4 linked regions of the Styela clava genome follow. The protein of the gene in region 1 purifies or fractionates together with the protein of each later gene. This does not show direct contact. Links are inferred from orthologs where the notes say so. Each region holds a gene or a part of one and is shown on either strand. Other genes may lie near its edges.

The links.
Region 2: the proteins of poly [ADP-ribose] polymerase 1-like (region 1) and DNA (cytosine-5)-methyltransferase 1-like purify together in Homo sapiens (affinity purification with western blotting; 4 studies listed by BioGRID and IntAct, with this or other methods). This does not show direct contact. The link is inferred for Styela clava from reciprocal best matches to the Homo sapiens genes PARP1 and DNMT1.
Region 3: the proteins of poly [ADP-ribose] polymerase 1-like (region 1) and aprataxin-like purify together in Homo sapiens (co-immunoprecipitation; 3 studies listed by BioGRID and IntAct, with this or other methods). This does not show direct contact. The link is inferred for Styela clava from reciprocal best matches to the Homo sapiens genes PARP1 and APTX.
Region 4: the proteins of poly [ADP-ribose] polymerase 1-like (region 1) and DNA repair protein complementing XP-C cells homolog purify together in Homo sapiens (affinity purification with mass spectrometry; 4 studies listed by BioGRID and IntAct, counting the BioPlex papers as one, with this or other methods). This does not show direct contact. The link is inferred for Styela clava from reciprocal best matches to the Homo sapiens genes PARP1 and XPC.

What each region holds. Positions count from the first base shown.
Region 1 is NC_135251.1:21,237,336-21,245,485, forward strand, and holds the start of poly [ADP-ribose] polymerase 1-like, read right to left. Parts: upstream 3,220-8,150; 5' UTR 2,969-3,219; coding exon 2,828-2,968; intron 2,443-2,827; coding exon 2,278-2,442; intron 1,213-2,277; coding exon 1,075-1,212; intron 741-1,074; coding exon 527-740; intron 298-526; coding exon 1-297. Other genes in the region: multifunctional protein CAD-like, read right to left, coding at 5,696-8,150. UniProt on the Homo sapiens protein: Poly-ADP-ribosyltransferase that mediates poly-ADP-ribosylation of proteins and plays a key role in DNA repair.
Region 2 is NC_135257.1:3,599,385-3,607,478, reverse strand, and holds the start of DNA (cytosine-5)-methyltransferase 1-like, read right to left. Parts: upstream 3,230-8,094; 5' UTR 3,180-3,229; coding exon 1-3,179. UniProt on the Homo sapiens protein: Methylates CpG residues. Preferentially methylates hemimethylated DNA. Associates with DNA replication sites in S phase maintaining the methylation pattern in the newly synthesized strand, that is essential for epigenetic inheritance.
Region 3 is NC_135264.1:11,770,854-11,779,098, forward strand, and holds the start of aprataxin-like, read right to left. Parts: upstream 3,524-8,245; coding exon 3,195-3,523; intron 2,733-3,194; coding exon 2,578-2,732; intron 2,151-2,577; coding exon 1,894-2,150; intron 1,888-1,893; exon of another isoform or gene 1,232-1,887; coding exon of another isoform or gene 1,122-1,231; intron 891-1,121; coding exon of another isoform or gene 628-890; intron 1-627. Other genes in the region: uncharacterized protein LOC120333828, read left to right, coding at 628-890, 1,122-1,231; small ribosomal subunit protein uS12-like, read right to left, coding at 4,090-4,641; serine/threonine-protein kinase RIO1-like, read left to right, coding at 5,489-5,552, 6,728-6,879, 7,465-7,589, 8,125-8,245. UniProt on the Homo sapiens protein: DNA-binding protein involved in single-strand DNA break repair, double-strand DNA break repair and base excision repair.
Region 4 is NC_135258.1:14,477,385-14,485,778, reverse strand, and holds the start of DNA repair protein complementing XP-C cells homolog, read right to left. Parts: upstream 3,385-8,394; 5' UTR 3,289-3,384; coding exon 3,178-3,288; intron 2,709-3,177; coding exon 2,580-2,708; intron 1,909-2,579; coding exon 1,763-1,908; intron 1,490-1,762; coding exon 1,339-1,489; intron 1,083-1,338; coding exon 987-1,082; intron 869-986; coding exon 449-868; coding exon of another isoform or gene 447-448; intron 363-446; coding exon 261-362; intron 1-260. Other genes in the region: tRNA (guanine(27)-N(2))-dimethyltransferase-like, read right to left, coding at 4,106-5,473. UniProt on the Homo sapiens protein: Involved in global genome nucleotide excision repair (GG-NER) by acting as damage sensing and DNA-binding factor component of the XPC complex. Has only a low DNA repair activity by itself which is stimulated by RAD23B and RAD23A.

The sequences.
Region 1 (8,150 bases):
TTGTGCTATAACTACAACTTGTCCATTCTGAAATCTGTCCTGTACAGTGATAATCGTGGCTTCCAACAACTAAATTTCCTTTGCATTCTGGACAAAGTGGAAGAGCACCAAAAGTCATTCCATCACCAATAGCGAGATAAATGGCATCGATTCCAGTTGGTACTCTTTGTTTATTGTATTCTAGCAATCTAATTAATTCATCTTTCCTCATATCGAGTTTTTTCAATTTGTCAATGTTCTTCCACATCAATATTGACTGACTCTTCATTTTCTTTTTCAATTCCTCTTTAGCAGGATCTGTAAAAATATTTTATGCAATTGTGGAATTGATAACAAATATCTTTCTTGTCAATAAAGAATTTGTCCATATTCAAAGATAGGCTCTATCTTTCCATTCAAAATTGAATATAGGAGGCATTACTAATCCTGAGAATTTGAGTTATTTACAAGGAACCAACATAGATTGACCCGAATAATATGACAAGCCATAATTTTTTGTCCACTATGAAGCAGATTTTTTGTTCACCTGGAGCAGAGGCAGATGAGGCAGCGCTCGCATCTGTTTTTGATTTAGATCGTTTCTCCTTAGGTGCTAATAATTTCCTAATGCTGGCTTTGTCTTCAGCATCTAATCCATTAAAACCTGTTAACATTTCTGCAGTGAAATGTTGCTGCCATCCCATGTCATCTTTCTTTTTGAGAAAGCATCCAACATGATGCCATCTATCTACCAATCCCAGCTGGGTAAAAAAAATATATTTTAAAAATAATATACATGGAAGTTGATGGACTGATTTAAACAACCCCAAAACTAATTATCTGCTAAATGTATAATCAAACATCAGGAAAAAACAGTTTGGCGAAGTGAAATTTTATAAAATTTCCGCTTGTGTAGAAAATTTTCCTCCTTTCCTCAAACAAATAGTAAATTGATTTGTTGTGTATCATGAACAACAGGTAGTATTTTGCCATTTTTCTGTGGCTCCAAGATAAAGAGAAATTCCAGCCAAGCAACTGAATGGTTAACTAATTATAGCACAAATTTAAGCTTGTCAACATATTTAAATATGGAACCTGCGGTTTTTCTGGATGTTTCTCCTTGTGAGATAATCTAATTTCATCCTTTTCAATTTTATTATCACAACCTCGGCAAGTACTTCGACTCGATGTTGCATACTGAACCACAAAATCCTTGAGTGTTTTTGAGATTATCTGATAACATAAGAAGTAAAATGGAAATAATAAACAACAGCGATAACAAATATACTCCAATGTCAGAAATAAATTGCAATATACTGTAGGCCTTTTATTCTCATTGCTGTTATTCTCATTATATAAAGCAGTAGGAAAGGTCCTGTCTGGATTTCATGGCCTTTTTGAAGGAGAAATCGGGCGTGCAATCAGAAATTCCCGCGTGCAAATACGAATTTCGGGCGTGCAATTATAGCTCACGGCGTGCAAAACAACTGCGCCCGCGTGAAACTGACTTCGACCTAAGATACCTTCCAATACATCCGCGTAAAATTACCGGTATTGGATACAAAATATGTTGAATCATAGCAAAAATGGACGTTTGACCTTTGACCCCAAACATTATTTCTATATTATTGTCACTAATTTTGAGAGTGTTTGTGCGACTTTATATACCGGTACTGTTCAGTACATCCGTGTAAAATTATTGTATAAAAAAATACGCTGAATCAAAGCCATAACTGGCCAGCGACGGTGAGGAGGCGATCTTTCTCATTCAACACGATACGGTTTTTTGCTTCGCATTTTTCGGTCATGCCAAATCTTGCAAGCTAGTACTAGTCGACAATTGTGAAGTTGTAATTTTTTGGCATCTTTCTATTACTAGATTATTGATTTAAAAACTATTTAAACCGATTTACATTGGTGAGCAATTGCAAATTTTCGGCGTGCAGAATTGAATTCGCTCGCGTGCATTTTTGTTGAGCGCTAGCGCCCTCGGGCGTGCATCTGCCATGGAATCCAGTCTGGGGAAAGGTATCGCATGTTTGCTTATTTGCCTCAAAAATAATTAAAGGATATAACAGAGACGGGATATATGTTCGAGACCTTACTGACCTAAGACTGATTCATTATAGTAGGACAACAGACATGAAATATACGAAAAAACTTCAGTACAATACACAGGACAAAGAGGTACGGCACAACGACGATATGTACAATAGTCAGTCAATAATAAACCCGAACATAATTTCGGCTACCAATTTTCCATGAATTGTATCATTCTGAATCATGCAATTCAAGTACCTTTGGTCCTTTTTTACTAGTTTTCGCACCACTAGCAAAACCGTCAATTTGAGCCTGTATTTTTTCTTGATCGGGAAATCGTAAACTGTTGAAATTTTTTATTTCTTCAGTATTCGTTGGACGACATTTTCCAAAGAAACACGAATAGTGATACCAATTGGGTTGCTGAAACAAAATTTTTATGTAATTTAATAAATTAACCTCAAATTCAAGCCAATACTGCAATAAAGTATTTTAGATAGCCTACATTGATTACATTCAGTCAATATTATGTTTTAAAGATAAAACAAAGAATTGACCAAGACCTGTAGTTGGCATGACAGGGGTAATAGTTTGTTGAATTCCTTCATTCAGTTATTTGGTATTACTCGGATAGAATTTGTCATACAGCAGTACAGCGATACCAGAATACAATATTCCGGTATTCAGTATTAATTCTGGATGTGTAGGCTACTTCGCCTCATTAGCAATGTAGGCTAGTAATTAGATAAACGAATTCGGTAGGTTACAATCTTTTTTCTTACATTCAATTCAGAAAACAAACAGTTACCCTTCCATCATAAAAGGGAGATTGAACCATCAACGCGATTCTGAGAGAATCTTTTGCTATCAAACTTTTGCATCCTTTGCACTGTGATCTGTTGCTTTTTGCATATTCAGCAGCATAGTCGTAATCTTGTTTAACTTCCATATCAAGTACCAAAAACACAGCCTAAACAAACTCCTTTTACAGTATTAGGTATTTCTGCATATGCAGCAATTTGAAGATGCAAAACAATAACACAAACCGGCTGATGTCGGCACGTGTTGACACACTGGTCACGTGTTAAGCGCCTTATTTACATTCCCGCCTCGCGACAACTCACCCTAAGATGATGTTACAAATAAGCGCTCTCAAAATATTCTTTACGCGTGGGCCGAAACGTCTAGTCTTGAACGAACGTTTAACAAAAAATACCCTGGCGACCTAGAGGTGATGCGGCTTCGCAAACGGAATTATTTCCATATCTATCAGAGGAAAAGAAATATGACAAACCGCCCAATAACATGGCAGGCTACGGCAAGCCACTCACTTCAAATCAACGTTGGACGTGGGATAGGTAGTCTAACTAGAGATTCGATTTTAATTCATGGACCTGAAGAGTATAACAAATATGAATCTCGTCTTTCCAGTCAGCTATCCTGACCTACGGTATATACTATGCGTGATTCGTTTCGAAGAGAGTTTCTATTTTGAGCAAATGGAGACGACTAGCGCAAAGGTGGCACATACCCTGTAGATGATTCAAATTTGTATCGAAAAAAATCGCTATTTGTATAGGCTACTCCCAAACGAAAAAGCCACAAAATTATTTCAGTCATCGGGGAATGTACATGAAGTGGCATTGAGCACCAAGCTCTACAGTACACAGTCGGTATCCAAATTTCTGAAATCGAACTTGCGAACAGCATCATCCTTAAAGATAGCCATACTTAAGCTTTCCTAATTTGAATTCATTTGCACTATGCAGTCTAAATACAGCCTTACAAGAAAACGATGATGAAGCGTACATTAGTTCTACACTTCTTTCAGCTATTTGTCCTCACCCGCATATCGATGAGGTTTGAAACTACCAAAGAAATGACAAGAGATGCAGAAAAAAAATTTGATAACAAATTCACACAGTTGGCAAGCATAGAAAAATTGGCAGAAGCAATAGCAGCAGTGGAAAATTTGTAAATATTGCAAAAGCTCTATTGTGGAAGAATTATTTGTAATGAATGCAATATTGGCCTGTGTTGATTCACATTAAGAGTCAGATAGGACCTAATGATAACTTTTCCATGTAATATCAAAACATTCAAACTTATTTCACGTTCATTGGTAAGATATTACCAATATATTGTCTCAATATTATTCACACAATAATAAGAAACCAATACCCTACTACAAAATGCGAATATTTGGTCAAGTCATGAAACAAGGTATTTCACATAATATCACATTTGGGTAACATATTAAGACTTTTTTATTGGCTCATTAATTTTCACCATCATGTTGATGAGTATTCAAAAAAAATGGTTCAAAAAACAAAATTTTCTTACACAAAATTTCTATAATACCAGTTTAGTCCATTCAATTGGATACTAAACTAATCCAAAGGCTGACTAGGACCAGAATTTGTGATTTGCACTAATGTTTTCATGTCATGTTATCAGCTTTTCTCAGCCAGGTGGTAGATCCTAATCAGATTTTTGCTTGGATATCATGTGCTTTCAATTGAAATTAATAACAAATTTGACATTTTGTTGCATCACCATTTTCTACTTTTAATCCTACCAATAATGTACTACTTGAATCAAAACAATCATTACGGTTTTGCTGCCTGCCCTTGGGAGAAAAATTTAAACACAAAGCAGCATACTGAAATGGAAATTTCTGACACTATTTTGGTCATGGCAGGTGGAAAAAATTGAAATATGAGAAAAGTTTTGGACATGGCAATTCATTATTTGATGCAAAAGCAATATTACACTTTTAAACATAATGTAATGAAATATTAAGTACCATATGGTGCGAGGCAGCATTTGCTTTCATTATTTCCGTTGATGATTTGATTTCGTCCAATTATCATTCAGGTAAATATTTTGAAATAATGGGAGTAAAGGATGGTAATGATATGATTGGGGAACAAATTCGCAGAGATGATATATTATCAAATTATCTTTATTTAATGATTACACTTGAACTAGGCACACAGTTTTAGTATTTTTGGTCGTCATGAAATTTCAAATTCGAGGGTAGACTGTTTACACAAAGGCCGTAATAAAAGAAGTAAAGTTCAAGGGTTCACACATTTAGTTTGTCTTTACAAAAACAGATACTAATATTTTGTGGTTGGAATGTATTTTTTGGCCACAGCCTAAATCAAATTTCAGTTTTGGTAATTATTGTTGCCATTTATGACATTCAGTAGATACATATAGTTAACTTTTTGGATGCTCTACCGCATTTAGATTAGCGGTTACAATGTATACACTAAAAAAGATATAACACTTGTGTAATTTCCACAGAAAATCAATGTCAAAATATGGCAATTATTTTGTTCCATTGCAGAAGACTTGAAAATGGCAGAAATACACAAACTAGGTCAAAATGATCATAACCATGTAAAAAGTGAAGAGTTATAAAATTCCGCATAAGAAACACAAACTAAGATGAAATATCATATGACATTATCATGACTGCCTTCGAGTATGATTGATCAAAAAATGGTTACATTAGATTTCAAATTTGTTCACAATCAATCTTTTTAATGATTATCACAACTCATCTTACAAATTCAAACATTAGCAACAAAAAGACATAATATCTACAGAAAAAAGCAAGGGAAGAGACACAATGATAAAAATGTCAGGTTTATCAAAAGATTTACAATCAATACTTTCCAAGAACCATGCACAACAATGCCATTCTGATATACAGTCCACACTCGGCCTGGCGGAAGTAAGCAGCTCTAGGATCACTGTCAACAGATTCTTTGATCTCACCAAGTCTTGGTAGTGGGTGCATGACCACCATGTTTTGCTTAGCTTTTGTCATCAAATGTGGAGTGAGCACAAATTTTCCGACTGCTTTTTCATATGCTTCGTTCGACTGAAAACGTTCTTTTTGAATCCTAGTCATGTACAGAACATCAGTATCAGGCAAAGCTTCTTCAAGAGACGAATAAACACGTTGTGGAATTCCTCTGGATGTGACGTAGTCGCAAGTGTCTTTAGGCATTTCCAATGATTCTGGAGAAATATAGCGAAGACTGACACGATACAAAGTTAGCAAACGAGCAAGTGAATGAACAGTCCGACCATTCTTCAAATCTCCAACCATGGTTATAGTCATTCCATTGACTGTTCCAAGTTCTTCTCGAATAGTGAAGACATCAAGCAAAGCTTGAGTAGGGTGTTCTCCAACTCCATCTCCCCCGCTGATGACAGGTTTTCTGACGTGCCTTGCAACTCTTTCTACAGCTCCTGGTTCTGGATGGCGCAACACAATGATGTCAGAATAACCAGACATGACTTGCACAGAATCGGTTAAAGATTCACCTTTTAACACAGATGATGACGCTTTGTTCATTGCAATAACGGATCCACCTAAGCGATGCATTGCAGCATGAAAAGAGCACATTGTTCTCGTGCTGGCTTCGTAAAACAAAGATGCCATAACTCGTCCGCTTAGAATGTTTCCGAGATATTTCTCTCTTTGTACCATGTTACGAAGAGCATGAGCCACATTGAATAAATGGTGAAGTTGTTCTTTGGTGAATTGGGAAACCTTCAATACATCAGAACCAACCAAACCATGTTGAGGATGAAGTTTACCTTCCAAATTACCCGATATTCCTCCACTTCCCAATATAGCTCCCCTAAGCACATTTGCATTTTGAGGTGTCATACCTTTGTCACTTTCAATTCTCTTTGTCATCAATAAACCAGAACCTGCATCACCGACTGGTCCAAAATGTGGTATTGGTAGGCCACTAGGTGGTTCTGATACTCTATGTACTTTAGGTGGTAATCCGAGTTGCCCTTCAGAAGTACCGGGCCTGGGGCTAATTTGCTGAGTAGTAAAAGGCATTTCTGGAACAGAAACCTTCAAGGCTGTAGTTTTCGGTACATTTGAAACCACTGGGGGTGGTTGAGTAGTCTTTTTAACATCCATGCCAGAACCTGGACGTGAAAGGACCTTACCATCAATATATGCAACCTCTCCACGTAAGACAACCCTCTTTACGGCACCTCTCACTTTAATACCAGCAAATGGTGTCCATTTAGATCTAGTGAACGGCATCTCAGATGGTATGATCCATTCTTCATTCATGTCTACTTCAACATAGGTATTGGGTTGTGAAGCCAAGTTAAAAATTTTCATTGGATTAGTGTGCAATCTTAAAATTAAGTCTTCAAGGGTTAATCGCCCTTCATTTACTGCATTTAGCAGGAGCGGTAGCATAGTTTCAAGCCCAGGGAATCCAGGTGGTGGCAATGGTTGCTGTCTATCCTTTTCAGAAACTGCATGTGGAGCATGATCCGTCGCGAAACAGTCAATAATGTCCAAATTTTCCCATAACGCATCCTGATCTGCTTTTGTGCCGAGTGATGGACAAACACGACCTCGTCCATGACCTATGGTGTCCAGGTCATCCTCAGTCAGGAATAAGTGGTGTGGTGCGGCCTCGCAAGTAATGGGTAAACCACGATCTTTAGCCAAGCGAAGCATCTGTATTTCTTCTGCGCGAGCAACATGACAAAAATGCACAGGCCTTGTGTACAGTTCCACTAACCATAATACAGCAGCCATTGTTTGCCTTTCAGCATGAACGCAAATCGGAAGATTTTTAGGCCACGCTTCAAAATGCTTTATCCAGTATGTCATGTTATCCATTTTTAGCGTAGTGAAAGTGTCATTCAAATACATTTTAAGGGCGATTGCATATTCACTTGCACTCGCGGCATCCAAGGCATTTTCTTTCGCTGCTCCCATGTAAATTCCATAGTCACATCGCGCACCATCTTGAGCAAGGCTTTTGGTAAGTTTTATGGTTTCTTCATTAATCACTGCAGGACTGGTATTAGGCATTGCTAGGATCATGGTGATTCCACCAGCCAAAGCACTTGCTGTACAAGTTGAATATTTTTCCTTATGAGTTTGTCCAGGTTCTCGTACATGGACGTGCACATCTATAAGACCAGGAAGTTTAATTAACATGCGGGAAGTGATGCAGTCAAGACGGGGTTGAACTTTCGGTTCACCACCAACATCTCTCAAAGCTTGAACAAACAGTTTCGCACATTTTACATCCGTTATTAGAGGAATAGAATATTCGACGGCC
Region 2 (8,094 bases), on another chromosome or scaffold:
GCTCGTCGTCTTGTCTGAGCAACACCATAGTGACCAGCTTGCAACACTCCGAACGTGCATTGATAACCCATTCTCACTAGACAAGCCAGAGTCAATTTTAACACCATACAATTTTTAAAAGAAACAAAATTGCGCACATTTTCAAGCAAGAAAAACTTTGGGCGAAGATAATCACAGTACGACAAGTAAGATACGACTAGAGAATTCTTGAAACGAGAATATTCTCTTGAGTTGAACCTATTCATTCCACTGAATCCTTGACAAGGTGGACCACCACACAAAAGTTCCACATCCCCTTTTCGTGGAAGAGTTTGCCCGCATGAATTTTTTTCTTCCCCATCCATGATACGTCGAAGAAGGACATTACAATCTTCTGTAAAAACAGTAGCACCGGGATTATTCAAACGATATGCCTGAGCAGCTGGATCCCAAAGCTCAACAGCATAGCAAGATTCTGCAATACCCGCTTGGTGAAAACCTTCCGAGAGGCCACCACAACCAGCAAATACATCCAATGTACGCAATTTTTTAAAACTGTGTTTTGATTCACATTCATCATCAATCTTCTCTTTTTCATCAGTAACTTTAATCTTTTTAGCATGAACTTTAACATTTGTTTTCTTTCCTGTTGATTGTCCAATGCGTCTTGCAGACAGTGGTGGATCATCAAATGACTTGTCATCTGCATCATATGATTCACTGAAATAAAATCTGTCAGAACCACCAGCTGTGTATTCTACGATACTTGATTTCAGGTCTAACTCATGTTCAACTCTACATTTACCTTGAACTTCAGTGAAGTTCACGATAGTCTTTTCACTAGACCAGAAGAGAAGATTTAAATCAGCAGAGTAGCTACCGCTGATACCTTTATGTGTGTTTTCAGACCGATAAAACTTTCTAACTTGAATTTTGACTTGATCACTTGGATTGCCATTTGTCTTCATATTAGAAAATATTGATACTATTCTTGCAACCCGAAAAGGCTCAGGGACGTTTTCATTACTCCCCTTGATGTGTTTTGTAGATTTGCGATAATATTCAGGGTATTTTTCAAAGTCTATTTTCTTGTTCTTTTTTGGCTTTTCTTCATTATTGTTTGGCTGAACGAAATCGAATCCATATGCCTCCACTGGAAGATATACAGAATCACCAACAGAATAGCTCACTCCATCATATTGTACTTTATTGTAAACAACTTTCTTTTCGGTCCGTTCTATTTCATCAATTGCTTTTGGAACACCAGCTTCATCTTTAGCATTGAGTCTGGCACATGATTCACATTCCCCCTCTTTGCATGAAGAGATCGGGGGGTCCTCAAATCGAGCAATATCAGAATCATACCATTTCTGACAGAAGAAATCGCTGATTCCATCGCAGTTATGCTTTTCAGGAATTTCACCTCCAAGCGTAAACCAATTCTCAGGAGTGCTTTTCATTTCAACATTTACCTTACTATTCACAAACTCAAGTTTTGTGTCTTCACAATCGTCAATTAAAAATAATTCTCCTTTATCTGCAACCTCGCCTAGAATTGATTCGGTAGCACGAATGTACCAATCAATATGAATCATTTTTGTTTTGTCAGGTTCCTCCCACATTTGAATAATCTTACCAATGAAAAGATGTTTACTTTGATCCTGAGGAAGTACAGAGACACAATCACCAAGAGTTATTTCATCTTCATTAATTTTGGCAGTGCCATAATATATTTTATTGGAAGTTTCAGTCCCAAATGGGACATAGGGATCACCAACCCACTTGTGAAGATTTTTTGATTTTCGTAGACCCTTCGATTTCGGACTTTTTGGTAATTTTTCAACAATTACATCTTTTTCTTCTTCAGTTTCTGAACCCTTGTCTACATCATATATCATTTCTTGACATTTTCTTTCCACACAAGATTGTTTGGCGATTCCCTTTCCACCAAATTTCACCATATCTTTACAAGCATTACAATTTCCACAATCTGGCAATAAGCATCGTTCACAAGCACCACATCGTTTTCGTCGTGGTGCACTGACTTTTGTCTCAACTGTTCCTTGAAAAAACGACTCTGTCATGAAGGCCACAAGAGGCGTTGTTGTAGCTTTTGTTGATGAAGCTTTTACAGCCTTTTTGTCTTTGATAATACGCTTTCGTACTGCTTTACGTTTACCCAGGGTAACACCAGCTAGATGGACAAGGTCACGCATGCATGGATGAGATAGTAATGAATCTTCATCTTCTTCCCTGGATCCATCAAAAGAATCTACTTGTTCAACAACAAATTGTGCATGGCGTAGGAGACTGTCCTCTGTAAAATGAGTGATATTTAAGTTGGCAGGTGGAACACAAGTCTGGATACGATTTACTAAATCCTCATACACTGCCTCAATTGTATCAGTAAGGAACTCAATAACGATTTTACTCATATAAATTTTCTCTTGCATGCTATTCCATAGCTTAGAATAAGAAGCACTAGCCTCCATCAAATAATAATCAGCAAATGCAGTTGAAAATCCAACGAGAGCTGCTTCACCACCATCAAAACCTGCAGTCCACCACTCATTGATCGGTCCCAACCTGGTTCCAAGCACTCCATTTTCAACACCTGCATCTTCAATATATACAGGTTTGATAACACCACTGAAAAATAGCTCAACATTTTTCTCAATCAAACCAGCATCAAACGGACACAAATGTGTATTCTTGTCATAAACACTGAAATTAGTGATCTTGTGCTGAGGACGGCCAGTCTCTTCATTGCCCACAAACAGTGCCAATGATTCGTGAGTGAGAGCAATGAATTCTTCACTCGCATCTGGTGTGTCACCTTCAAACATTTCAACTTCGTCAAGTAACTGTCTGCAATATTTACATTTCATTGTATTTGGTGTCTTTTTTTGCAAAATTTCCCCAACGATTTTGTCTTTTTGTAATTCTGTTTCTTTGTGTGATTTCAATTCAGTAGTTCCATTCTCACATATTACATTATTTTCAATACTTGTCTTCAGTCGTTTCATATCTGAGGTGTTATTTACGACCTCATCGTTGAATGAATTATCATTTGGACCATTTTCTTTATCTTCTTCAGATGCTTTTCGTTTTGCTTTCCTCTTGAACATATCAGCAATGGTAGGTTGAATACAAGCCTTTTTGTGTTTTTTCTCATCATTTTGGGTTGAACTTTTCAGCATTCTTCAAAATTTTAATACTGAGTGCAATAACACAATAAGACCTAAACTGTAAAACTAAGAGTGTAACAGAATTTAAAACCATAATGACCAAGAAGAGCACAATATAAATAGCAGATGCATGAAGATATACTAAGCTAAACTTACGCCAATATACCAACCTGTTTGTTCGTATGTGGTAGAATGTAGCCTAAATTTTCCTATCAATAATAATGTAAAATTCCCGAATTTACAAATTGACTATGGACCATAACATATATAGAACATGAGCACAGCTTTATTTCTATTAACTGACCAATATGATGCAAAAAACAAACACATCTTCACTGCATGAATGCATACTGGGAAAAATATTTTTATACTGTTACAAGTTTTAACATACAGTCAGCCAGAAAACTTGTTATTTTCTAAATTATAAAGACAAGTAAATTTATTCTACTTTAATGTACAATAAAAATATTTCTACTCCTAATGTGGGATATTTTAGAGAATCGCAGATTAATACGTCGAAACGCCCTTTTATCTTTTGAACTAATGTGGATGCGTATTATTTTTTAAATTCTAAAGACAAGTAAATTTAATATACTTTAATGTACAATAAAAATATTTCTACTCCTAATAAGAGATCTTTTAGAAAATCGAAATTGAATTTCTTGAATACACTCTGATTCTCAGCAATGTATATTTCTATATGTCGCGGTAATGGCACTTTAATGTCAGATTTTTGAAGTGAACACCGCTGGGATTTGTGGGTAAAATATTTCGCCGCAATTTCGCTAGGATCACGATGGCAAATAGATTGTTTGTTTTTTTAAACCAAATGTCTGGACATTTCGAAATCAGAGAACTGTGCCCTACAGCCTTTACGTCTGTACTTTGATTGTTTTAGCCGCAACTAGCAAAAACCAAAAAACTAACTGATAACAGGATTTGCTCAATTCTTCACTCAGCATTGTGCAACAATAGAGCAATTTTCATATTGAATTTGAGGTAATATATAAAAAAAATATTGAATAAAATTTTTTTTCTTTACTTCTGTATATAATAGGACAATCCAATATTTGCCATCGACCATTTCACAAGATTTGCTTGTAAACAGCAAAGTTAATGCATAGAAGAAAATAACGACAGAGTATAAATAATAAATTTATGATAAATCTGAATATCAGTAGTTGTAATTAATATCACCAACCTAGAAATTTCCTTTTGATAGTCAAGTTGGGAAGTGGTATACTGGTAGTAATATTATTTATTCATCATCATGCGTAACTCAAACATACATTATTAACAAAATGAAATAAAAAAAAACATAGGTGAAAGAACTCTGCAGAGGTTATCTAGCTGTTGACCCACATTCTGACATTACATTTTTGTTTGTTATTCAGGCAGTTTGCTTAGTCAGATCCAAAAGTTGTAATGATCTGTGTATTGTACCGCTACCGCCACAGCAGCTCTGATTAGGATAGGATTTACATATTTATTTGGGCCATTCCAAGCAAAAGTTGAATTCCATCAATTTTTTAAAAAGTGTAGTGAAAGTAATTTTTTTTATTTCTGATATCAAAAGACATTGGAATTTTATTGGACTGCATTCATTTCATCGAACAATTTAAAATTTCACCTAGGTTTTTGGGGTCTGGTATAGTTTAGTACCACATGCACTTCTAATTGGCCTGGCTCAATAATTTTTGCACATGTCAATCCTAACCCCCATCTGACTACGTCACCGAAAAATTACGTCATTCCGACATCACAGTAGCGTAATATGGTCCATCAAAGTATGCGGAAGGTTGTCCAAAACGTGCAGACAATCACCCGAAATCGAGCAAGCGATTTCTCTCGTTTACTCGTCACAGCGTTCACGATAGGAGAGAGATCGCCGGCTTTAGCGAGTTCGTTGTCAACGGCGCAGATGCCATTTCGGGCGATCGTAATTATAATTTGGCAAGCCCCATGACGTGTTGGTGACGTAATTTTTGGATGGCATAGTCAGGTGGGGGTTAGGAATAACATATGCAAAATTCGTTATTCTATGCCCGCTGGAAGTACTTGTGGTACTAAACTATACTAGACCCGGTTTTTGATGGTTTATAAAAAATGGCCTGAAATGTAGAAATTTTGGTATAATTGTGTGGTACAGTTTTTTCATATGGAATTGACGCACTGGGTTTAAGTTAATAAAGTTTAAATGTTTGCAGTGCTGTAGGACATTTCTTTACCCATTTAACAATTTATTACCAGAATTTTAAGAGATGATAGAGGCCGCTATTTCGAAGTGGAAAAATGTCCTGTAGTGTCACATACAATATGCACATTATTGGCATGGATTTACAGTGTTACATTAAGTAACTTGAGCAACACATAGAGGGTCTCGTGTAGTTTCTTACCCAACATACTTCTAGTGGGCGTAGCATCACAATTTTTTGACATGTCAATCCTAACCCCCACCAGACTATGCCATCCAAAAATTACATCACAATCATGTCATAGAGCTTGTTAAATATACGTACTATCGCAAGAAATGGCATCGGCGCCGACGATAAAGAACTTACTAACATCAGCGATCTCTCTCATACTGGAATCGTCGCGACGTAAAAACGAGAGAAATAGCCGTTTGATTTCGGGTGCGCGTCTTGGATGAAAGTTCGTATAGTTTGAAGGTCTCTATCACGTCACTGTGACGTCGTAGAGACGTAATATTTGGATGGCATAGTCAGGTGGGGGTTAGGATTGACACATGAAAGAGACCCCACATATAGGGGTAGTTCAGCTACTGCACCAGAAAATATTATGGGCTCCTACTGTACCATCGCAAAAATTTACAGCACAACACAACGTACTGGTAGTGCATGGTGGATTTGCCGTCCTGTAGTGTCACAATATATTTTTTTATCTACCAAGTACCGTAAGTCCTGGGTGTAACTTTTGTGCAATTTTTTACATATTCAATAAAGCAACTGATTGGACAATGAAACAAAACATGTAGCTGAAAATGTAAAATTATATAGCATCCAACAACTTGCAAAATTTCTGGAATTGTCCTGTAGTGTCACTTTGAATAGCCCATTTCAGCATTTACGGTACCGTATGTACGTTTTAAAGATTCAGATATTTTGTTTGCTCTCCTGATTTTTCATAATCAGTTTTTACCCAATTGTTTTTATCAATCATTTTATTGTTATGCTGAATATGGAGTCGAAATAAACTTATACTTCCTGCAATAATGACCTGAATATGAACGCAAAATATCCAAGCCTTTTCCCAAACAAAAGCAAGTATCGCAGTTTCCCGCGAATAGCGTTCTATGCTAAAACTCGGCCACATCAAGTTTGGCGGCAAAAACCATAAAAAACGCAAACGCCCGATGTGCCATATGTACATAAGATATGCGATGTTAAGTGCAAAATATATAACGTATTTTAAGTGTATTTGGACAACAGAAAAGCGATATATCTCAGATTTTCGTGGAGTCACTCGTGTACCTAATGGACTTTTCCCCGATCATCGACTTCCTTGTTTACTGCGTGACATTGGCCAATCAGCAAGATGCAAAAAGTGACGTAACAATGCTCCCTTTTCGCATCAGCTCAGACACTTTTCTCACTCAGACAGATTTTCAAGCGTGGTCTGTAAACATTACCTCGTTTTCGCGTTTTTGAACTCGTTAGTTTTCGGTTGTGTTCCGGAAACCTAAATATAAATCAGATAATTTATTGATCACTATGTCTTCCTAGGAGTTTTAATTTAACTGCAGTAATAAAAGATTTGTGTAGAAATAGCTGTGATAGACTAGGCTAAAATTCTTCACCGGTACTTTCAAAAAACAGATTGTTGTATGCAATGAATCATAATCATGGTTTGAAACATACCACATTTTACAGGCGCCAACTCGCAGAAGCACTCTTAAAATTTAGCCTTGAAAATTTTGCAATGGTAAAGTAGGATAGGATTTACATATTTATACGGCTTATCCATATGGCGAACCACGGCCTCTCGTCCGGTTACCATTCCAAGTTTGGTATGGGATTAGTTATATTGTTTGTTTTCGGAAGCATGGACTTGGTGGTGGAGGTCGGAGGAAGCCGTAACCGACCAGCGGTTACGTGAACCACCCAACGACGGCGAGGAGTCCAGCAATACTCTCCCATGCGAACCCATGCAGAGTAATTAGAGGTGCGGTGGCGAGCGTATTCCTAACGCTTAGCCCGTTGAGCCACATCGCCGCGCCTATAGGTATAGGAAGAATTTTCGGGGGTCAACGGTTGGGGGAAGATTCATAGTCCAGAGGGTTCATAGACCATAGCGCGTTCTGCTTCCTCAGTTTCATACATTTTCTTAGGGGTATGAGATAGAAAACATTGTACTTTAAACATCAATATCTCCTGCTGTAGAGTTTCTATTTATGACTAAGTATTTAATGCACCTAGTTGAGTTTTCGACTTCTCAATCAGTACAACCCAGTGGCGGCGCGTCAATAGGGCCAACCGACGCAATGCCCCGGTTGTTTTTTCGGTATAATAAAAAATATTCGAAAAATACCTCAATATCGGTTGCACAGACTGTCTACGAGGTGCGGCTAAAAAGAAACGGGACTGACGTCACAGATTGCGCAACACGATTAACCATCGGTAATCAACACTTTTGCAGTGTGGCGTAATATGTGTTCTATGTTTAACAATTGAAGAATGACGATTGAGCAAAGAATTAACATTAAATTTTGCGTCAAACTTGGAAAAATGCATGTCAACTCGGCATGCATTCAATCGTTGAGCTTTCTGCTCCTCAGTCAACTCAAGAGCCTTTGGCATCATTTTGGCACACACCTTTCGCATTCCCAAAGTGTCAACCAAAATGGTGCGGACCGTTTCTTTGTCCATCCCAATTTCGTTGGCAATGACGCGAATTGTTAAGCGACGGT
Region 3 (8,245 bases), on another chromosome or scaffold:
CGCGTTATAATTGAATAAATACGGTACTCCTGAAAGTTTGCGCTTCCTAGTTGACACGTAAAATAGCAAATTGGAGCAAATAGTAGTTAATTTAGCCTATATATAAGTGGACTGGACTTCGTTCAGAGAAAAGGGGGCAGGCAAATAACCGTCATATAGACAATATTTGAATCAGAAAAATAAAGCATAGTGTCATTATGCTTTGTAAATGAAGAGAAAAGACTAAAATGTTACTATTGGCGGAAAAACGGACATTCTAGATCGAGGTGGGCACGATTTTTAGATCAGGGAACAAAAATTTTGCCCACCGAGACTGGCGGGCCATGTAAGTATGACGTAAAGAGTTACATTTTATGAACAATGTTCACAGTGTTACAAAAGCAACAGTGGAAAACAATGAACCACGTGCCAAAATTTATCCGCAATCTTAACAAATCCCTTGACCTATTTTTAACTAAATCATCAAAATTTGGTTCCAGTTAAGTTGTGGCAGCATCAGGCGGGCCAGATTGAATTACCCAGTTGGCCGGATTTGACCCGCGAGTCGTAATCTGCACATGTCTGTTCTAGATACTAAAATTTTCATGTGAATATAGCCATTATGCATCTCATTTATTATTTATACAGAAAAAGAGGAAGCAGGCTTGAATCAGAAATCACAAAAGAGACGGAAGATGTTGAAATGCAAGAAATGTCTCCTCTGAACCAAGAGAACAAAAGCACAGAAGATTGCGAAGATGGTTTTCCAAATACAAACAGAAGTCCCAATGAAGATGAAAACATTTTGGAAAATATTGCTAATGAAAAGAATACATCGAATGCTTCCAGTGAATGTGGATCAGTTTTTGACTCAGACAATATTGATCAAATTGGAATAGAATTAGAAATAGGTGAGTATATACAATAAAAATGTTAATAAAAGATACAAAAATTAAACATATAAATACTAGTCTGTCTGTATTTGAACATATTATACTTGAGTCGCGAGATTTTACTAAATCTATTTTTTTGAAAATTTGGGTCGCTTGAAAAAAAAGGTTGGAAACTTATATATCAACATTTATTTATTCTTTTATTCTTCTGTATTGCAATGTATAATTGACAAACCATTCGAATTTCAGGGTCCTTGCAGAACGAAAGAATGGGCAGCTCACAATATAAAAACGTCAGTGACACGGCATCAATGGGTAATGATACAAGTTACCATGACGATATGGATACAGCATTGTGATTAATTAAATATTAGAAAATGTATGAAACAGTAGTGAAAACCTGAAAATGACATCATAGACACAAAATCAAGTCATGATGTATTGAATATTTAGGATTAAACTTGGTTTAGAGACAATGTTTTAATTATAAGTCGAATTATATATATAAGTTTCAATATGAGCTATGATGAGAGAGTGTCTGTAAAATTCCACCACTCAAAAACACACCCATAAATTCCTCTCAAAACTCCTCATTCAACTGGGTTAATATGTTAAATTTTGTCAGAGTTCAAATAATTCATGGTTGAAAATTTCTGCAAGGAAATTTCCTAACAACGATGAGAAGATGATTCAGAGGGGGTTTCAGCAGAAAGATGATTCACTTTTATCTCGAGAGCGAGTGTGTTAGACTTCACTTTGAGCAAATTCTTTTGAAAATTGGTATACAGACAAAGTTTTCTTGCTTATATAAGTTGTAATATATTTCTCATCAATTTTTCATAGATTAGCTGTGTTTTCTGCGTTTATGCTAATTTTCAGTTTTGTGGAGCAGCCTCCAGTACCCTGTGTATTTTGTACACAGTGTGACAGAGTATTGAATAGAAATCTGCAATGGATTTTTACCATATGCAAATTATGAATTCAGACTTTAGTTCGCAATATAATATTAGCATCAACATACCTTTGGATATTTATCTTTGATGACAACAACTTTATCATCTTTGGAAACTCTCAAACTAGGATCATCCATTGATCCTTTCAAACCTTGACTCCAATGATAGGAAGGTTTTTGTGCTGAATTATTTTTATTATTTGAATTTGTTTCGTTTTCTTCATCGGAAATATTTTTCGCTACTTTTTCAGTCATTTTTTGTCGTTTGCTGAATGTGTTTTCCTCCTGAGGTAGTTTTGTTTTCTTGGTATTGGAAGATGTAGTTCCTGAATAAATATTATAGAACATAAGAGTTTCGATGTGGTTTCTTTGAAATTATTGGAGAAATAAATTTACATTGGGATATGAGTACAGGTCACTGTTTTTGGGACAAGAATTGTTTTTCGTCATTATCACGGTAAACTCTGGATAAATCAATATCAAAAACCTACATTAATCGAATATTATGATTTCCTAAACAGCGTTAGTTATTTAAAATTCTACTACTATTTGCGTAAACACTTTTTTTGCGCTCATCAAGGTACTGTCTTTTACCCAACATTTTTCTAAATTTAAAAAAATTCCATCCTCACCCCATATTTTCAGCAATCTAGTTTATTGAACAACGTATGCTACTGGTAAAACCTTCATGTCCTTATAATAGTGCATTTCTCTCTAATAATAATAAATTCACTATATGATAGAAAATGAAACCTGAATTAGGGATACATATAGCAATCTTGTGAGGATATTTCATATCAACGACGTGTAACGTTTGTCCTGCATGAAGTCTGTCAGTTTTTCTATGTCCGATATCAATCCCTTCTATCTGAGATGCATTACTGCCAAGTTGCTTGACCATAACATATCTAATGTTCAAAAATAACAAATTTAGTGATGCCAATAAAATCACTCTAGAAAAGTGGTTTTCAAGACAACATTTTAAATAATTAAACATATTTTAAAAACGTCTTATAAAGTCTCAATAAACATTGATCATATACTTGACACATTTTCAACAGAAATATTTTTACAAACCAATTTGACAGGGCAAGAAAACACAATAGCGGACAATCTATATTTGAAACAAGTTAGAATCAAATGTTTCCGTCTAAATGACCATTTTTCAAATAAGCATATATTCCAAATATAAATCTATAGGTACCTCAAAAATACCTGTATGGCCTGATACAGATTTCATAAACATTGGCAAATAAAAAAGTCTCTTTATACACAAAAGAAAGTATATTCAAATAACGTCAATAATAATTTCACAAAACATAAATATATCAGTATCTATAACAGCAAAAATATAACACATTCCTACCTACTTTTGATTGTAATTTGCAACCAATTCCAACTGATTTCTTGAACACAATTTATCAGGTATTTTAGTCTCTGCTGATCTCCCAACGATGACTGGCGAACCGTCTGGTAGAAGTATCGGAGCATGTGTTGAATTGCAACATTGAAAATACATTGAGAAAGATAGAGATAAAGCAATGTGGTAATTCCTATTAAAAAAAATAAGAAGTTCCAACTTGAAATGCATTTGCAAATAGTAAATCTCAAAACAACAAATTTCATATCTTTGTATTTTAGATTTTGACATTGTAAAGAGCATTTTGAACCATATAGAATAGATAGAACAAAACAGCATCAATCACAACTTAGGTAAGGAAGTTATTCGGTAAAATTCAATTGAAAAAGTGATGAATTTTTGCACGGCTCTATATGAAAAGATTTTGTGTGAAATGGCAGGAATTATGTTTTATATTATTAAATCTTTATATTGAAAAATTTAGACAAAGTTTGTTCAACTCACAAAAAAACTTTGTGAGTTGAATAAAACATTGGCGGCATTAGAAGTTTATTAACATATACTTTAAGACTAGTAAAGCCTTGTGAAAATGGAACATCACATACGTTGAACGACAAAATCCTTAAGAGTTAAATAGGCTAGCTGTTCTTTTACGAGAGATTTTTTTAAGTAAAACATTTCTTTACTACAGTATGAAAGATTCATAAATATGTCAGAATTTAAACCATTACAAACATTTTGAGGCCATTGTTAAGTATTATTTATTGTCACAAAATATAAATTCCAAGCTATCTAACGCTCTCATATAATCCTACGGTAATTTTTATTTTCATATTTTGTGAGGAGCTCAATTGTTTCAAATTGTCTGTCATACTTTAGTATTTGCGAGTATTTTATAGCAAAAATTAGTCTTGTTCTTTCTTAACAACATGAGCACAATCAAGTGCTCCTCTAATAACTTTATGGTGAACTCCGACTAAATCCTTACGTCCTTTTCCTTCGATGAGAACAACGTTATTTTCTTGTAAATTATGTCCTTCGCCGGGTATATAAGCAATGATTTCTTTTCCGGTACTTAACCGTACTTTGCAACATTTTCTATTCGCACTGTTTGGTTTTTTCGGCTTTTTAATTAAAAGTCTTAAAACAACGCCTTTTATTTGTGGCTTTCCATCCATTCTTGATTTTTTCTTTTTCTTGGCTATTATGTCCAACATTTTTCCTGTTTTCATGTATAAATCAGCATGATAAAAGTTTCGATATCTGCCTTCCCATTTGAAATCAATTGCAGATGAGTGGAAGTCCTTAGAAGGCTGAGTTAAGAAGGTGGTTAATACAGCTTGGCTTTGATTCACCAGTAAACCATTGTATGTGTTTGTTAGGCAAGTATTATTCACTTGATGAAGACATCCAGTGAGCAATGTATTTTTCAATCTGATCAAGTTTTTGAACGCCATAAGTTGGCAAGTTCAGAAGTTAGATTTTCATGTAAATTAAGACTTGAAAACTATTTGAAATAAATATAATCATTTGTTTCCAGATGCAGTGAGAAAGCATGATGAACACTGACTAGCTACGGTATAGATTTTGCGTAAATAGTAATTGATCCCAATTTCTTTTTTTTTTAATTTGCAGCTGCGCGAAACTCCCAGAAACACTTTTGAACAAGAGACTTTTTCACCTTTGTGGTGCAACATACTGTTATAAGCCTACTCCAAATGTACAAAATTTTTACATATCTATGTTTGGTGTTGTACAGATGTATGAATGTGATGTAGGTAACCGAAGTCTGTAAGCTGGTACGTACCCAAGGCCAAGTGAGTGTCGGGTCTACAAAAATAAATCTCTCTCTTTCTCGATTTGTCAAAAAATACTTTATTACACAATAAACTTAAACATCATGCTATCAATATCAACAAAACATATTCACACCATCCTCCAAGACCAAACCAAAAATTAGCTGCACGAGACAAACAAATGATGAAAAGATTTCACTTCGTACTGCGCGCTTGTCATCAGTGACCAAAAATCGTGATTTGTAATTCACGATTCTTTACTGTCATCTTGCGTATGAGTAAAAGTCTGGTGTTTCAGAGAATTAAATATTGCACAACATGTGCAAAAGAAAACACGCGACTGAAAAACGCTGGTGCAGCAGGCTATTTCAATATTTGTATATAGGCTATTATATTGTATTCTGATCGTTTTCATTCTACACATCTGATATTCAGTTAGGCAGCGTCAAATTGTTTTAGAAAAGAATCCTTGTTGTTGTTGGCCAACCCTTTAGTACAGTATTACGGTATGGAGGGGCAGTTTGATGATTTGGACCAGGCGGAGGAATATTTGCAAATGATGACAAAAACTAGTAAGTTCATTCATCTTTTTTGCATTCAGTCATAATAATAAATAAGTATCATAATCTAAGTCGCTGGTATCACGTAAAGCTAGTAAAGTGAATTTTTCTATATTTTTCATTGTAACTTTTATTAGGATAGGATAGGATTTACATATTTATCCCGGGGGAGAGGAAAGCCGATAAGACGGCTTATCCACATGGCGAACCACGGCCTCTCGTCCGGTTAGCATTCCAAGTCGGGTATGGGATTAGTTTTAATGTATTTTATTTTATTTTTTTCGGAAGCATGGACTTGGTGGTGGAGGAAGCCGTAACCGACCAGCGGTTACGTGAACCACCCAACGACGGCGAGGAGTCCAGCAATCCTCTCGCACATAACCATCCCTGCATGGGATTCGAACCTGCGAACCCACGCAGAGTAATTAGAGGTGCGGTGGCGAGCGTATTCCTAACGCTTAGCCCGTTGAGCCACACCGCTGCGCCAATTATTATTTCAGTATTTCTATTTTTACTCATCATCATCTTTCTGTTATTACGGTACTCTATTATTGTTTTTTTTTCCTTCGCTGTTTCATTCACATTCTTCAATGACTGTTTTGTAATCTACCCCAAATTCAGAAATTTTAACATTTCAATCAGCAAGTTGATTCACATACAAGAGTACAATGTGTTATAATCAAATTAAAATGAGCAATAGCTAGAATAGTCTTATCAATTTTTGTCATAATACTAGTAATAATACTGCACTTTGAAAAACATTGTTTTACATTATGTTTTTGTCCATGCATCTGAAACAAATATGACTGGCTAACTAATACCATACCTACCTGACATGGACCTGTAGCTGGCTGAGCGGCCGTGGTTTGCCATATGATTAATCCAGGATGATTATGTAAATCCTATCCTCTCTTTGACATACTATTTCAATTTGAGCCGACTCTACATCATTCTTGTGTAGATCAGTTGAGTAATGTATAGAACTTTCTCATAAACAACATTTTGTCGTTTGTCTATCAGCAGTCAAGATATGTCATTTTGGAGATTGTTGGATTTTTGTGTATTTTCAATGTGTGTCTTTTAACCGCGTTTGAAAATTACCATATCGGTGTGTCACCATGTATGAAGCCCATTATTTTATTGCGTCTCTTATACAATTAACTATTTATGTAATGCTTTATTTTAAGATCCTATTCAAGAAGGATGTATCGATTCAAATACAAACATAGCAGATGATGATGACAATTGGAGTGATGATAACTATATGGAAATGGATGAAATATATACAGAAAATTGCAGAGGAAACGGCGCCAAGTATTCCTCCAACCAATCTTATCAAGTAGGATGTGATCATTTATTATTTTGCCACAAGCACATGTATAGCTTCAGGAAGAGATCATTTGAATGGCGATTCACTGAATGTCTGAGGGACAGGCTTATTAATTTCAGTTATTTCTCTAACTATATTGGTTTAAATCTGACGATGTCCAAGTCGAATTGAATATTCCAATTAATTTGAAATAAATGATATTTAAAATTTTATTTTTAGAGAATAATAATTTTATTTTGGGAATATTATAGGCCTAGTTAGTTTTATCTGAAAACCCATCATTTTGAGCAATTGAAATATTATAGTATGACCAAAAAGACATTGAATTTTTTGAATTCTACAACAAAAAACGTAGAACCACTAAAATCACTGTTTATCTTAACCCTTCTGTATTTTCAAATTTAAACTCATTTGAATATCCATTAACTTCGAAAGTAGAGGACCCAATTAACGTCAATATTCCAAATTCGAAAATATTATATCAGAATGTATTCAGGATAGTGAATTTTCGAATTTTGGCCATCCCTCTTTAGAACCAATAGTTGAAATAAAATAGAGTGCTCAGCAAAGTATAAACTTCTTGTTGTTTTTTAGCCTGTGGATAAAATGTTATCAAAATTTTCTGACAAGATTCATCTTGATGCATATGAGCATCCTAGTATTCCGCAACATAATCTCGCACAAGTTCGACAAATGGATAAAAGAATGGTTGAAAACAAGTAAATTTATTCAAAAACTTTCTCTCATTCTCATATCTTATTCCTTTTAAATCAAAGAACTGGGAGGTGCCTGGAAGATTTAAATTTAATGTTCTTTCAAAATGATCAATTTTCAGGAATTCCATTAATTAATATTATTAACTAATATTATTAATTAATATTAATTCACTAATTTTTCAGTGAAATAGTGAGTTTTGTTGAAAACTATTGAATACCATGGTGATGCTGTAACATAACTTTGCTTTCATGAATCATGACCCCCTTTCAAAGACTACAATGTGGCCCTTTTTTCTATAAAAATACCTTTATTTAATGTGCTTCTATCATTTGTTTTATGCGCCATGGTAGGTAATAAAAAAAATTGTTTTTGGGAAGTAAGGCGTCATGTGGTACTTGGTTTGATTCTTAATAACAGTGTATGTGATTTTTTTCTTTTAGCAAATATTGGATAATCAATATCAAAATGTTATGTTGAATCACCAATTTTCACCAATACCAATTTTCAAGTTTATTTACTGCAACCAATAATTTTCAGAAATCGAGTAAAAGACAAATCGGATCGAGCAACTATTGAACAAGTCATGGATCCAAGAACTCGAATCATACTTTTCAAAATGCTGAGTCGTGGCGTCATTAAACAGATCAATGGTGTAATA
Region 4 (8,394 bases), on another chromosome or scaffold:
TTGCTTCCATTAAGATGTGCAATTTGAGATAGGATGTTGCCCAAGCTATGTGAGGACACTGTATGTTATAGATTTTTCGTTTAACTTTCTACACGTCCAGTGCTTTGACCAAGCGCATCATTTCGCCTAGTGTGTGATAAATAAAGTGAATAATGCTCAATAGCAGGTCAAGCGGAATATAAATTCCTAGACCCAATAAACAATCTACCTTAGCTTTGTTCGAAATAAATTTCAATAAAAAGCAAATGTCAAGATCATACCACATTAATCTTTCGTTTAACAGTAGTTCTTAATTTTCTTTTAGCTTTGGTATTTGTGAGTTGTTTCACCAGTGGCGTCTCGTCCACTTTATTTTCTTCAATCTGTGAATATTCATAACTTGTTAAGCAAGACAATCTTGGATAAATATAATTGGCTAGTTACTTCTGAATCGCTGTAAGTAACATACTTTTTGTTTTGATACATTTTCTTTCTTAGTTTTACTTTCTTGGACTGCAGTTGTATCTTTCTTTGATTTTCTCAATTTTTTCGTTACTTCTTTCTTTGCTACAGCTGTCGATACTTCGGTAATTTTTTCTTCAACTTTGTTCAATTTACTTCTCCTTGTTTTTAAAGGAGCAGCATTTTCTTCATCGGAATCTTTTTTAGCTATTTTTCGTTTCCGAGCTTTAACAGGATTGACGGATTCTTCATTGTTAACTTTCACTCCCGCAGTGGATGATCGAGTAACTCGTCGTTTCTGCGGAGAATCATTCGCTCCATCGAGTTGAAGTATCACCTTGCTGTCCTTGTCCATTAAAAGCGGAATATCTTTAGTTTTATTTTTCTTTGATGCGTAAATTTTCGATTTGATCGCAGCAACGCTCTCCTGAAAAAGTATCAAGTAATATCATCAAGCACGGTTGTGATTTTTCTTATTTACAGTCATTTAATATTTTTCATTTTGAACTAATTAGGAGCCTCGAAATTCTTCATAAAATACTCACATCTCGTTTCTCTATTGGTGTTTTCAAAGGAAGAGGCTGTAATGATACCACTAGCCTTGTATTCAATCCCATGGCTCGCAATGCAAGGACAAAAACCTGAGAATAAAAAAACTTGTAAAGTATATCCATGGACATCTATGAAATAGGTGATAGTAACCTGAAAAACTATCTGAAATTTTACTCGCTTATGTGAGATTGCAACCAAATAACAGTATATCTTGGAAGTTGGAATTGAATATTCTTCCCCTCTTCAATTGAAAAGATAGAAATCAATGTGTTCTACCCTAAGCAATTCCATGTTTGTTTATGAATAATGGATATCTATGCAAAAGTCATAAAACTGAAGACTTACCAACACCCAATCCAACTTGAACTTGACTTTTTGTGCTTCCAGAGCTTTTTTCATCTTAGTCTCCAAGAATGGTAATCTGAGCATTCCAAAACCAAGAAGCTTTTCCACCCCATTTTCAGTCTCAAATATTTTTTGCATATCTTGTATAAACCTGAATTAAACACAGATAGTGAAGAAAAAAGAGAAAAAAAGAAGAAATAAGAGTTACATGCACTGGTACCCTGTGCAAAAGTAAATCTGAATTTACTCTCAGTCTAAATGCAATTTGGCGGCAGTGAGACACAAATTCAAATTTTAAAATTAAACATTGAACTTTCAACTCTATAAACTCAACTTAAAACTTTTGAAATGATAATATGGATGAAAAATGAAAAAAATGAACAGCTGAAAAGAATAGATTTTAGCATTACAAAACGATTCAAACCTTGTTAAGAACATTGCAGAGACATGTTTCGGCTTGACATCATGGTACTTCTTGGGAAGTAAAGAATATGTTCTTGATAGGAGTTCTTCATTGTTGCAAATTCGGTTAACACGCATTCCCATTGTTAAGAGACACATAAGATGAACCTATATTTTGATAATTTCAATGAGTCAGTAATCAGTAATGTTTTTTTTCACATACCGAAAATACGAAAGTATACAAAAGTAAGGTAAAATATAAAATAATGTGATGGGAGACGCGATAAACCAGTCACGGTTATCAAACAGCGTCATCTTTGAGGGAATCTCATAAAAAAACAAGTAAAGGAAGTGGAACAATATTTAATGACAGAAATCAGCCATGTCGGTACGATTAAGCAACCTGGTGTTTCCAGTGTCGTTCATGGTGATTCGAGAGAACAACTCCAGGCACCACTGGTGGGGTAACCGTGGTAACCGCAGTAGATGAAATGACAAACGAGCGGGGGCTAGTTTTTGTGTGCCGTATCACATTTGAGTAGACATTCCCAGGAAATATAAAAAAATAGGAACCACTCATATAAGAGGTTTACTAAATATAATCATATTTAGGCTATTCCCTGCTGTGTTATCCTGGTATCAAGAATTCAAATTATCCTGGAAAATTAGTTAAATTGAATGAAATTGAATTTTTAAAGATTGAGCTTCGTCAATCATCCTTTGTCTTTTGAATGATGGGACACTTTAGAAAATTTGTATTGAAATTCAGATCATCATACAAAAATACTTTTTCCATCAGAATGCATCATATTTTCTGAGCTGAAACCAAATTTGTTTACCTTATGCATAACAGTTTGCATTTCTTTGTCAATTCTCTTAGCTGCTTGCCTAATGCATGTTTCAACCATTTCTCGATCCCATTTTTCTCTTTTTAGTTTCTTCTTCACAGCATCTGGAACCAACTCAACCTATAATCAAAAACATATTCAATATCTATGCAAAATTAATTTGTATAATTTGACTGATACTCAATACTCAAAGTAGTTGTTCAAGAATTTGAGATTGAGGGACTATTTTAGGATTTATTATTGATTACTGCAAGGTGATAATATGAGAATATACAAATAAAACACAGGTACATCATATATATATATATATATAAAGTAGAAAAATTTTCATATTAAACATAATTTCTAGTAGGGCCTATACTAGATTACTCAAAGCAAAATTGAGAGCCTCCAACTGAGAGTGGAGAGAATAGTAGTAGAGTTAAAATCTATCTTTATTGATACTCTCAACACTGAAGGGGAAGGACCATATTATAGTGTAAATGACTGCAAGCAACCAATCTAGTGGCCAAAATAACTCAAAAGAAACAAGGACTAAAATACAAGACTAGATAAAACATTTGTATTCAAGATATCAAATAGTAATCACCTCCACATTTGCAGATGGAACAACATCTTTTTCTTCTTCTTCATATTTCTGAGATTCTTCAACTTCTTCCCATTCCTCATCACTACTTTCTGTTGTTGTATCAGGTGACATCTTTACAAAAGCTAACCTAAACTATTCACTATTCTTCTAAACATTTTAAATAAATGGAGCAATTTAATAAAAAGCCCAAAATATTTTCTTCACATTAAGCACTTCTACATGGAACTTCACATTTCAAAATTTACAAGATAATACGGGAAAAGAGACAGTATAAGTAGACTCCTCAAATAATGATACTTTCATTTCCAATAATACTTTATACCAGCGTTTCCCAATCCGAAGGAACTTTGTGCTGTGATTTTGGTCTAGTAAAACTGCTAATATTCTTACTCTAATGCTTATTTATACACACATAATACAAGCTAATGATTCATTACTGATTGAATAAATACAGTAGTTCCAAAATATGCGCGAAAAGAGGAATATAGCGAAAAAGGTTGGAAACCACTGCTTTATACAATTTTATAGTTCAAATTATAAATTGGGTGTTAATTGATGTGTTTTACTAATGTCTAATACCTATGGTAGGATCGTGACAAAATATAGTTCAAATAAAATCTATAACTACAAAACACATTTTGAGAGCTTGAGAAGGTATAATGGAATAAAATCTAAAAACACCCAATTCAGGTAAATATGTAACTATTCAACTCATATCAATGCTCCATAAAAATAAACTACAAAATTCACTGACAAGCGGGCCATTGAGGTAAGGCATTTTGGATCCTGCACGAATTTTTTCACATAAGGTTAAGCAACTACTAGTTTCGGTTCACAGCAAAGATGAAAAATTTTTGTTCTATTGTGCATAAAATGAAATTTTTTTACAGCTTTCATTAAAATCACAAGACAAAAGATGTCAATATTTTCAGTCTGATGTTATGCTGTTAATTACTTTTCTAAATTCTCTGGGAGAGGCAGTAGTCCTAACTCCCCTTGGATCGAACAACGTTCCACAAGCCCGAAATCCAACCGACCGCAACTTTTGAATAGAAGCAAGAATTCTCAAAGGATTTGACCCTTTTTTAGTGTGAGACTCAACAATATAGTAGAAAATCGGACAAGTTTCCGAAGAATATTTTTGAATAATCGACTCCAAACTATCATTTGGTTTCAATCTTTTAGCAGACGGCTCATTAGCATCTTGGCTTTTAGACATTTTTTGAGTTTCTATTGTTTCCTTGTAAAGTTTAATAATTTCAACTTCTTGCTCATCAGAATCAAGACACAAACTTTCCAATGTCATATTTTGCATGACTGGCACAAGTTTATTTTTAATATCAATTTGGGTAAGAGTTTTAGCCATTTGAATCACAAAATTAGTGTCGAATATGGGTCCAATATATGCTGGACCTAACATTACAATCGGTGGTTGTACATTTTCATCTGTGATTCCTCCATCTTTGCAAAAGCAGTCGGTGATATCTGGCATTGGAACATAGTACAATTTTTCATTCAAAACTTGACGATAATGACAAACTCTGCAATGAGCGACTCTTTGTATAAAATCCAATGATTTGTTAGCATGCGTGGCACCTTTTAAAATTCTAACTAAAAGAACAATGGAATTTTCATCCACATAAGATGAAAGTACAGATATTCCACGGTCCCATCTGCTCGCAGAACGAGCTACATTTGCTAAAATGAGCCTTACAGCAAGTTCTTTACCATATTCATGTTTCATTGCTTGCCCATGATAGATTCTTGGCACTCTTTCTGGACATTTATTATATAAAGTGCATAGGTCTGTTGAAACAATACATAATACGCCTCTGTGGCATATAGAGAAACAAGCAGCCTCAAGGTACCTTACACATGTTCCATATGCTTCTAGATATATCATGTTGTATCTTTTATTTGATTCGTGTAGTAAAGAATTCGGATTCCTACATACAATAGATACATTGTTTTCAAGAATGTTATTTTTCAGATTTTTTTCCAAACAATTTTTCATATAAATCTCGTCATGTAAATTGATTGTAACTGAAACATTTTTTCCGAAGTGTTTCGCCCAAATCATTCCTGACATTCCGAGACCTGGAACTGCATCAATACAAGACAAAGCCGTCATTCCAGCTCCTTGAAATTCTTCAATTATTTGTGATAATGCAAGTAAAGAGAATAGACGAGGAGTATGTAATCTTTTAGCAGTGTGCCATTGGTTTCCTAGCTTTGTGAGAAAGTCTTTTGTATATTTCGCAGAAATACCTAATTCAGATAGTGTACATTCAGTCATACCTAGATTTGAGTTGACTATTTTCGATACTACCTTATGATTATATGATTAAAAATCTGATTTAAAAATTGCGAAAGAAAATATTAACAGCTATCCCAAGTGTGGGAGATGGTAACATACTATTTCAGCAACTACGCATTTTTCTTTTTTTCCCATGCTGTTGGAGTATAAGTTTTTTGTGTAAAAGCGTGAATCGATTTCATCTCTTCTGCAATAATGTCATTGACCATCCTTTGCTGCTCAAGACGTGACTTTCCAACAAAGAGTTCCGATACAACAACAACGTTATAACTAGTTCCACACATATTGGGCGACAAATCGTCTATTTCAATATAAGTTGCCTGCAAACCTTTTTGCAATTTCTCTTTAATTATCTCACTTGAAGTCATGATTGCTGATGGCTAGATGCAAGTCACAATTGGGCGAATTAAAAATATAAACATATATAAAAACATGCGTTCATATAATCTAAAGACAATAATATAAGTGATGGATGAATGATTTAAGAGTGAATTTATATTTTTCACAAAGTGATGAAATATTTATGAATACTGGAATATGTGTGAATAATCTAATAATAATCCGAGTAGTGCGCTAGCAGTGAGGTCATGAAATATATTGCACTGTCTGAAATTACGACCCACGGGTCGGATCCTGCCCACTTGTGCCTGCTGAAATTAAAAATAGTTTCTATGAATATAAATTTTCTTATTATCAGCTACCGTACAGGTACAGCATACAGTAATTCCCCACATATTATATCTTAAGTCACTTACCGTACCAGGTTACAGTACTGCAGTACAATAATTTCATTCCCAAACGACATGAAACAGGGAAACGATAACCATCTACTCACTCTCTTGGTACTGTACAAGAAGTTGAGGTATAAATTAGGGTTTTGCATTTATCAAAAAACATCATACCGTACGGTACCGTAAAAGCGCCTAACTTCGGACAGTTCCTAACTTCGGACAAAATTTTTGAACGGCCATATCTTGGCTAAAACGCGCCGTATATTGCTAATTTCAATTATTATAGGTTGCGCTGTTATATCTACATCTATTCTCATCTTTTTTAATGTTGCATAATTATTTTTTTGGTAAAAAAACGGAAATTTTGCCGAAAATTGACTGCCCGGCATTCAACGGCGCAGAGCGTCGCTCCTACTGAAGCTATCATCGTCAAAATACCATCATTCGGTAGAGGGCGACAACAATGTATATAATTTATTTGAGTGATCGCAAGATGTCGTACGAGATTCAAATAAAATCTAAAATTCTGAATTATAAATTCCGTAAGAATATTAAGATTTCACGCAGCGTCAAAAATTACGTCAACCTCACGTAGATTATTTTTCGCTCACTTCCGACACGACGTCACACTGCGTCGCGGAAATGAATTTTGACGCCAGACACAACGGAGCCAATATGACAATTTCCGTTAAGATAAAGACGGCGTTCCAATGTAATATTTTTGTATTTTGTTCGGTCATGTATGAATATATGCCAAAATTACATTAATGAAAATACATGTCACACTTAATCGATGACGTTAAAATCGAACATATAAAACTATGATAATTCCAACGTCCATATGGCACAGTGCACTAACTTAACCATTATTTTATGATTAGTAGTCGAAATGACAGTTATTGAATACGGCCTGGCTGAATTTTTTTCACTCGAAATTAAAAATAAATTTAATCTCCAACAAATAAACGGGACCTACATGTTTACAAGATTAAGTTGAATTTTAAATTAAACTTTACAATCGGATTTACCGTGTGTTTGATATAAATTATCAATTATAAAGATAACCGCGCACGATAAAAAAAAAGCTATCCGTCGAGAATATTAATACTTCAAAGACTTCGATAGAAGCCTGTTAAAATACTTCATTGTGGATTGAAACGGTTTGCATCAGATATATTTACGTATGCATTTTCTGATTAAAATGACTAACGTGTTATTATACTCATCTGAAGTATCGCAAATAACGAACGAAAGATGTAAACATAGGACGACGGAAGTTTCAATTAATGCATTTTGGTCGTGACGTCAATGTTACGTTACGACGACGATCGAACGTCTTATCTTCACGCAACGACGTGATTACGCAATCCGCATCGGAAGCCTCTTTCTCTCTGTGCGTCGCGGTTACGCAGTGAAGAAAATGACTGTCCGAAGTTAGGGCAGTGAAGGATAACGGTCAGATGGCAAGAAATATCGATTATTTCAATAGTAAAAATAGTCCAATTGAACCGAAATTTGCAGGGAATGTAAATTACCGCACGAATGTTTTACCGAGCAATTTTGGCACCTTTTGGACAATAAATGGCCAAGTTATTGACGAAAATATAGTAATTTTGTCCGAAGTTAGGCGCTTTTACGGTAATCTATAACTGGCCCACTGAGAAAAGTGATTGCCGAACCTAGCTGTAAAGTAATTCAAATATTGCAAAACAAACTAACTCTACCAGTTCCGCAAAAGCACCCAACATTCGAGTGGAAGTGGTGACTCCTCTGCGGCCCATTGGCCGTGGCCCCGGCTCATAGAGGAGTCACCGCCCCTGTAGCAACATTCGATTCGCCCAATCTCCAAAACCTGATCACTCCTAACCTCCGCACTATCCTCCCTCCCACGCAGCGAAACTAAACTGACAGCAATCAGACTGCAATTCACGCCGCTTTTAATAACACGAGTTTCGCGCGATCTTTGTTATGTAACCTCACGTGACCAGAGTTACGTAACAAAATTCACCGCCGATCTGGTCATTTTTTCTTCTGGCGATTCAGCGATCAATCGAAGTCCTAATCTAAAGTGGTATCCCGCAGCGTTTTAAGCGCTAGAAATACGCCCGCCATCGCACCTCTATTTCGCGACTTCTTGCGTTTCGTAACATTTACTTTTACTGCGTAATA